Drosophila melanogaster: one gene and its partner. The protein of the gene in region 1 interacts with the protein of each later gene in a pairwise test. Each region holds a gene or a part of one and is shown on either strand. Other genes may lie near its edges.

What was found. Proteins that work in one complex are often made in the same cells at the same time.
Region 2: the proteins of Tsp26A (region 1) and CG32726 interact in a two-hybrid assay, tested with the Drosophila melanogaster proteins (one large-scale study listed by BioGRID).

The regions. Positions count from the first base shown.
Region 1 is NT_033779.5:5,998,552-6,004,243, reverse strand, and holds Tsp26A (tetraspanin 26A), read right to left. Parts: upstream 4,017-5,692; 5' UTR 3,933-4,016; coding exon 3,645-3,932; intron 3,581-3,644; coding exon 3,500-3,580; intron 3,440-3,499; coding exon 3,161-3,439; intron 3,086-3,160; coding exon 2,975-3,085; intron 2,768-2,974; coding exon 2,651-2,767; intron 2,576-2,650; coding exon 2,507-2,575; 3' UTR 506-2,506; downstream 1-505. Other genes in the region: Gal (beta galactosidase), read left to right, coding at 1-482.
Region 2 is NC_004354.4:7,424,677-7,427,372, forward strand, and holds CG32726 (uncharacterized protein), read right to left. Parts: upstream 1,068-2,696; 5' UTR 1,051-1,067; coding exon 1,003-1,050; intron 937-1,002; coding exon 802-936; 3' UTR 544-801; downstream 1-543. Other genes in the region: CG15036 (uncharacterized protein), read right to left, coding at 1-136.

The DNA.
Region 1 (5,692 bases):
AGGGCATCTTTGGTGAGGTGAGCCTGCAGCTGCACAATGGTGGTTACCTCCCGCTGGAGAACTGGCGGAGCACCGCTTTCCCGCTGGAGCAATCCGCCGTCGAGCTCTGGCGGCGCGAACACACTGACGAGAAGGCCTTGGACCCGTTGCTGGCAAGGCAACGCATTCTTCGAAACGGACCAATACTCTACACTGGCAGCCTGACAGTGACGGAGGTGGGCGACACCTATTTGAACATGGCCGGTTGGGGCAAGGGCGTGGCCTATGTGAACGGTTTTAATTTGGGACGCTACTGGCCTGTGGCAGGTCCACAGGTCACCTTATATGTGCCCAACGAGATACTGAAAGTGGGTGAAAACTCTCTGGTGATCCTTGAGTACCAACGAGCGAATAAGACAGCAACTGGCGAGGATCTACCTGCAGTGCAGTTCGACGCAGTTGCTCAGCTGGACGGAGAGTCTGGTGATGTTCCACTTAAATGATGAGCCTTGTATGCATTGTTATTCCGTATTTCTTTATTAGAAGCGTTTTTGATTGATACTTGTGTCAACAACCTTCGTTAAGCTTTATTATAAATTTTCTAACTCTTATAAATCTATGTTTATATACGCCTTAATAAATGCTGTTGATCTGTGCTTGACTGACTCTTATCGATCTCCAGCTTATTTTCAATTGACTTTTTTTCGTTACCATTATAGCAGAATGTTAACTTTTTTGCTTTTACACATTATTAATCGTACTATGTTCGTGATTTTATTGGCTTAGTAATTTAACATTGCACATGAAAATTTGGCCAGATGTTTATATGGAAAACTCTAAAGAGGATATACACCCAATAGCTGCCATAAAGTTAACTTTTTACATATCCAAAAAGTGTATTAGCTGCCACATCTGGCCAATTGCTCAGTTGCAAGTGTACATACAAGATTTTTGGGCATATTTTGTATCATTAATAACATTCTATGTACTTATGGTTTTTAAGGTAAAAGCATTTTATTATAACTATCGTCTTTTTGAGCATTGCAGCAATGTAGGCGTTGAGTTTCGACTTCTATTCACGTTTAATATTGAACAGCAATAAAAGTATGAACTGTTTTATAAATACAAGTTTGCAGACTGAGTTCTTAAAGTTTAAGACAGTTTAGGAAAACGTTTGGATACTGTTAGTTGAATTAGTTATCGTTTTAAACTGACTAAGATTGGCAAATTCTTTAGTTATCCAATTGTCAGTTAATTGGACCTTTCAGCTATTTGGTGAACACAAAAACGTAATACTCTGTTCGGGGCAGTGTTGTTTATAATCTCCATTGCTTTTGATTAGAATGTTTGCGAAATAGTATAAATAATACTAACATTGGAGTTTTCCAATACTACGTCTCTTTGCAATATAGATTTAAAAAGGTACAAGAGCGAATCAATGTTTTCCTTGTGAATCATGTTACAAGTGCGATATCAAGCAGTTAAACCAGCAATTGGCTTACTTTTTACTCAATTATAATTGCGTGTTGCAAAAATATATTCATATGCTGTAAAGCTTACCATTTGTTGTGCATAAATTTAGTTCAAGCTCATTAATATTAATATGCAAGTGGTATTGCTTTCTTCCATTTTACGATCTGTGATATTGACATTTGTCACAGAACTGTGTTTTTTGTTTCTCGCTTATAAAAATAACTATTATTTTGAAGACAAATATGTGTTGTGCTAGGTTGTATTTGTTCAGTTTAGGAATGAGATTCGTGGTGTGATCATTCGATTTGTTGGAAATTGTTGCATTTAATTTCGATTTCTCTATACTTTTCTTTAAAAATATATCACAGCTGCATTTCAAGATAAATTTTTCATTTTTCCTATGACTCCTTTTTCACTTTCTTTGTAAAATGTGTAGAAAATCTATTTAAAATGTTTTGCTCTTCTTTTTCTTATTTGTTCTTGGGCTAAAGGGAAGCCGACGTAAAAACAGCAACAAATTTGGCAACCTAGTTAATATTAGTCAATGTCCACGAAGACGGAATGCGTTTGCTTTAGTTAGACACATAGCGTACTCTTGAGTATAAATGGGGGTATGGGTTAAACTGGGTCGATTTTATGGACGCAAAAAATAGATAAATCGTGGGAGAGAAACCTAATCAATGAACATTTTATGCCAATATCAATATACAACGTGTGTCCCGAAAATCAGGGTTTACCATAGGCATTTGTGTTTTCTGATCAAAAGCGAAGGGTGAATCGTAATTTCCGGAACATAGTTACTTTGGCAATAGCATTAGGAATTGATCATTGACTAGATTCTATCAACGATTATCGTGCATCCAAATCGATTCACCCTAGTATGGGTTTACAAGGAATTTATAGTATAGTTAACTAACCGGAGCGTAGATGAGTAGATACAGATTCTTATTTTGAAGTTGGTGGATGCTCCATGTGGCTTACCTCGAAGTTTCCCAAATCCTTCGCCACCTTGGGTGTCCTTCTAAATGGCCGTGGGAGCAGACAGAGCCATTTGTCAGTGCCACTTTGACTTTTGAGTGTAGATATCGGCACGCAGGTTCTGAGCAAAGCAAATGCCCAAGATCTACAAAAAGTGTATCGTTACAAGAAGAATCTATCTATTGTCATAGTGAGAAAAATAATAAAATCAAACAGAAACCTGAAAAAACATCACAACTATAACAGTTGCGGAAATAATAATCAAGTTGTGCTCCATCCATTCTTCGCCTGCTTGAACACAGCCCTTTTCGTAGATTATTTTGGACAACTCCATGCCCTGGTAAGAAATTAAAAAAATAAAATAAATATAAAGTCTGTGGGAAATTATAAAACAAAAAGATGTAACTACTACGAGTAAAAACCATATTTTTAAAAAAAATGGGACCACCTTAAAAACGATTCTCTCATCTGAACTACACTAAACTTAAAATTTTCAAAGATTCAAAAAGAAATATACAACGACGACTATAGAAATGTTTTGCACCTGCAGGACGAGCAGAGCCACGCAGCCAATCGCCACACTAATCAGATGGGCCTCCAGCCAATCCTCGCCAGCGCGCAAGCAGCCACGCTCATGTATATTCCTATCCACCGGCTGCATGCGTACGATTCGTGGGTGAATTTCAATATGCATTTCGGAAAGACGGGGGAAAACAGCTAGCGGACTTACATATCCCTCCTTGCGTACATCGTAGCCGCATTGCTTGTTCTTGATCACCTCCTGCGGACGTCTGCGGCAGCAGGAGAATGGCACTCCGCACGCCTCCCTGCTGCCAATAGCGATAGACGAGCAATTGAAGTAGTTGTTGCTGTCCCAGTCCTTGGGACCATCAATGCCGCAACACTGCAACCAATCCTCCTGGATCCAATCAATGAGATTCTGCTGGTCTGCGTCCTCGCGATAGTGGCGAATGAAGGCCTTGAGTCCCTCGGTGGCCTGGTCTTTGATCTGGAAAAGGCAAACCTTAGTAATGGCTGGCTAGAATAGTGGCCTTCAAATGGAACTCACCCAGCCCTTGTCCTTGAGCACGAAGGCCACGGCACAGAAGCCGATCTCTGCGATAAGCAAGACACTCAAGAAGATGGCGTACTGCAAGCGGAAAAATAAGGATTAACTAGGTCCAGAGGGGATCCACTAACAATGTGGTACCCACCGCCCCCAGGAGGCAGGTGTTCTCGCGCAAGGCGCCCACGCTGCCCATGAAGCCCAGTAGGAAGGTGACGCCTCCCAGGATGATCAGGACGAAGGCCGGGTCCAGGGCGATGAAGTGCAGCCGCGCAATGTTGCGGAACATGCCCTTCTCGCTCCAGGCCCAGATGCCAACGGAGAGGACCAGCAGGGCCGAGAGCCACAGGATCACATTGCTGGCGAACAAAAGGTACTTCAGACAGCAGCTGATTTCACTGGTCTCGCGGCGGAACTTGCGCACAGCAGCTGGCATTGCTCCAATTTTAACAATAATAAATATGGCCAAAAGGAAACAAAAACGTATGAAATTCTGCTCGCCAGTGTGACCGTGACTGCACTTTTTTTATCACGCAGTGCGACGGCTCCAAATACGTTGCAAAGAATACCGTTTCCCAAGAAAACCGCCATTTTGTTCAATCTTACGAACTTTAAAACTTGGATGTTTGTTTTTTTTTTATTGATCTTGCATAAACAATGTATTTTACAGAAACCAGTTTGCGTATTTATTTCATTTTCTGCTGATTTGTTGAGTTGAGCAACAACAATTTCATAGGCATTACCGTTAACTAAATACTTATGTCTACTGGTTATTTTAAATATATTATACAAATTCAAATTCTTAAAGCCAAGGCTTAAATTAACACACAGTATTCTAAAAACAATAAAAGAGCTCACTTACTTATATTAATAACTTAGAATATAATTCACTCTTGTAGAATGCCAAACTTTCTTTTTTTAGCTTACCACTGTATTGAAACACATTTCATAAAATTAATTAAAAAAGCGTACTTAGGAAACCTTGCGTATATGCTCGATGGATCCTATGGATGTTTCAAGTCCTGTCCCTGAACCGGCATAGTGTTAAACGCGGCGCCGGCTAGACTGAGTAACGCCTATGACCGAACTGATTTTGAATCTAATACAGAAACGAAACAATAAACGGGGGGTCGGCGATAAGACGAGATCCGATTCGTCGACCTCCGCCGATAAGAAACTGTGTTTGATTTGAAGGCCAGTGCTGCACAACGCGGACGGTGGCTGGTATTTTCCCGAACTTTTGTGGGGCAGATCGACGTTTCCGGCACTTCGACGACGGGTCACACTGGACACATGTAGCAGGAAAAAACGCAGACATCGGAGAAAGAAATCAGAAAAGTAAATTCGCATTAAAGCCACCTCGCCAGTGCCGTGCTCGGTGGTTTTATGGAACACTCATTTCGATCACATACCGAGCGTGCGCGTCTTCCAACGACTTCCTATGACGACAGTGAGTTTTTGCCCAGTGTAGGGTGCCCAGTTCCCAGTGCCCGAACCCAGTGCGATTGTGTGCGTGCCAGTGTGTGAGTTTAGGGGCACTTCTGATGGCTGAAAACGTTTAATTAGCAGCGAAAAGCGAACAAACTAGCAAAACGCAGACGCCCACCTGGCCAAGTCGGTGCATATAGATCAGGAAAAGTGCGGATTGCAGCCTCTGCGTTGGCCAACAGCGAAAACAACCCCCCGCACTAGTCGTGGAAAATGTTTGTATGTGTGTTCCCTCTGCTGGCAGCGCAATCGGGATTCCGAAAATCCGTAATAATTGTGAAAATGCGGCCAGAAGACAACGCCAGGTCGCGGCTAGGTTAGGAACCACGTCGCGGATGAACGGATTACGGTGGAAAACCGCGGACGGAAAATCGCGCACCAATTGCACACGCCAGCAGAGCAGCGACAGCGCTGCAAAGTGCGTTGCGTCGCTGCCCGGTCGCCATCATAGCGAAAAATATTGTGATCCCACGCCTGGAAAGCCAATATATGCCACTGAGTTTAGTGACTTTCAAGTATATAGTGAATATATAGCTCCAGTCGAGCTGTTCGCGGGGAGTTACTATTCGAAAAGTACAGTGCTGCAGTCACCTTCCAAAAAAAAAAATCAGTTCAGCTTTTCTGTTTCCGCTCACCGCCACTCCCCCCACCGTTGGAAATGTGCAATATGGCAGGGCAAATGCGTAAATTTTGCGCTCCTGCTGGAAA
Region 2 (2,696 bases), on another chromosome or scaffold:
CCAATGGTCGCTTGATGATCGTTATCCGTATACATCCGGCATGATCCGGATGCTCACCGATGGGCGCCGTGTCGCCAAGGCTTAAACACTCCAGGGCAACCAACAGTGCGAATATGTGCTTTATGGATTGCCTCATCGTGATCCTCGGCCCGAGAATTCCCCCAAACAACTGATTGTGTTCAACGGCGCTTCCATTCATTTTTATAGTTCGCTTTTCTTGCAGCTCCATTCAATTGGCCACAATGACGACGGACAATTGGATATGTTGTATCAACAAATACGATCACAAATTGCAGCCTCACCTCTGACCATGGGCCATGTAGGGTATGGCCCAGCCTATATATGTATACTGTATTTTCTCTCCAACATCAGATAGCTTTAATTTCATTTTTTTTTTGTCGTTGAACTTTTGTCAAATTAATGCCGATTTTAATCGCCGCGCGGGAAGTCCGGCCAAATGGTTTCAGACGTTACATATCAATAATGAAAGTCTCACAAAAGCGAAGAGATTTTAGATAATAAATGATGCAAATTGTGCAAAATGTAGAATTTTATATTTCAATGAATTCATTTCAGTATCTTAAAACGAGATAAGATAGATATATTGCCAATTACGAATAAATAAAAACGAATATTTACTAAAACTGTGGTTTAAAACACTGGAACTATTTTTTTTTTTTTTTTGCTGGAATGGTTTTTCTATATTTTTTGAAGCTATAGGATTACATAATGGTAGGTTTCATTTAAATCGTCCGTCAATGGAAATTTTGCCAGTTTTCTCGTGTTTTGCTTTCAATTTATTTAACCCGAAGAACTGGCGGTGGTGGTCCGAGGTGGTGGAGGAGCACCACGCGGTGGTGGTGAGCCGGTGAAGTTGCGATGATGACCGGCAGCCTCCAGTCCGCGCACCAAATTCACTCCAGCCACGGAGAATTGCTAGAATAAAGGGCACGAATATTTCGAATATGCGCAATCTGTAATGTTATCGAGCATTTAAGTTACCAGCAGACAGCAGCTCATGGCCAAAAGGAACAGTAGACAGAAACGCATCTTGATGTGGAATGATTGACATTGGCCTCGAACACCTCGCTTTTATGGGCCACCAATTGTTTAACCGATTTCAAACAAATATATTAAGAGTATATTTGTAATTGCTTGCGTAATTGGTGTGTCACATTAAATATCTAATTGAGGTGTTGATTTTGTAATAACATTATTTCAACTCGTCTGCAATTATCATGTGCACTGGAGCTCTCTCATTTTCGATCATACAACTGTGAATCGGTTGCAGTTCAAATGAACCTAATTCTTTGGGTCTAGGTCGAGGTAACAATGTTTATTCCAATGCGAATAGAATTTTATTGAGCGATTTTAAAAGTTTCGAGAAACTAGAGATATGTAATATTTATGCCTTTGGTGATTGTTTTTTTTTTTTACCAAAAGTACCAAACACCGTTTTCATTTTATTCACATGGTCTCTTAGTGAAACACGTCTCTGTAAAATGCGCCTGTGATGTCTGACTAATGAAATGTATCCTCCTGTATAAGCAGATATACCAACCACCCCCCAACTAATAACTAATGCCATAAGCCACTCCAGATTGCAGCGCTCGTGACTTGTCGTCGAGCATTTGATGAACTGCCACAGAATGTGGATATATATTTGGATTGGCATTGAGATTTCAGATCCACAACCCAGATAGGCATAAACGTGTCGGGAAAGTTTTATGACCAGTTCCTTTTACCTTACTCAAAATCCCCCATCGAATACGGTTACTGAACTTTGACATATTTGCAACACTGAAAAAAAAAACATTGCTACATAGCAAGCAAGCAATCTCAAATATAAAATCTTATATCAAAACACTAAAATTCCTTTTAAAATGCTTAAAAGATATACAAATAGCAGATACTAATGTTATTATTATTATTATTATGTACGCATAAAGTTAAAACGTGTTGAACTGAATTATTTTTTGTTCTCTCTGCATCGAAACCAAATCCAGTCATAAACTACCAAATGTCAGCAGGAACAGGGGAAAAAATCATAAAAGTCCCCAAACCGAATTCTGTGGCCCACTTTTATTGGATTTTTACGATAAGCCTTGGCTGCGTGTGTTACTTTTTAGGATTCTTATTTTTGTCAATGATAATTCGAAAAGCACTTTCGGCGCAAATTGCAGCTGTTATCGCTAATCAAATGGCACAAAGGACGCAGGACTTTATATATACGACTATAGAGGGATATACAGGCACATATCTGGCGAGTGTCTCCGGTCAGAATGCAAATCAAACAAACAATAAATTGAATCAGGACATTGTTGAATGTAACAGATAGCCCCAAAAACAATGAGCAAGCCTAGCTGAACACATGCATATCCTGGAGACATTAAGGATATCCTTGAGTAGATGCAATTTTCTAACCAATATAATTCATAAATTTATTTTCAATCCTTTCCGCACATAAATTTTCATATTATGCACACTCACTCACAGACAGTAGTCGTCCTTACCTCGACCCTATTTTTCTCCCAGGCCTATTGTCCTGCGGCATGTCCTGTGTGCGTTTGGTTATTATTTGTCGTCGTGCTTGTCATTATTTATATGGGCAGGCGAGAGATAAGTTGCTGCAATTGTGGCACCCCCTTAAAACAGAACCCCAAAACCCCAATCCCCAATCCCCAATCCGCCAGCCC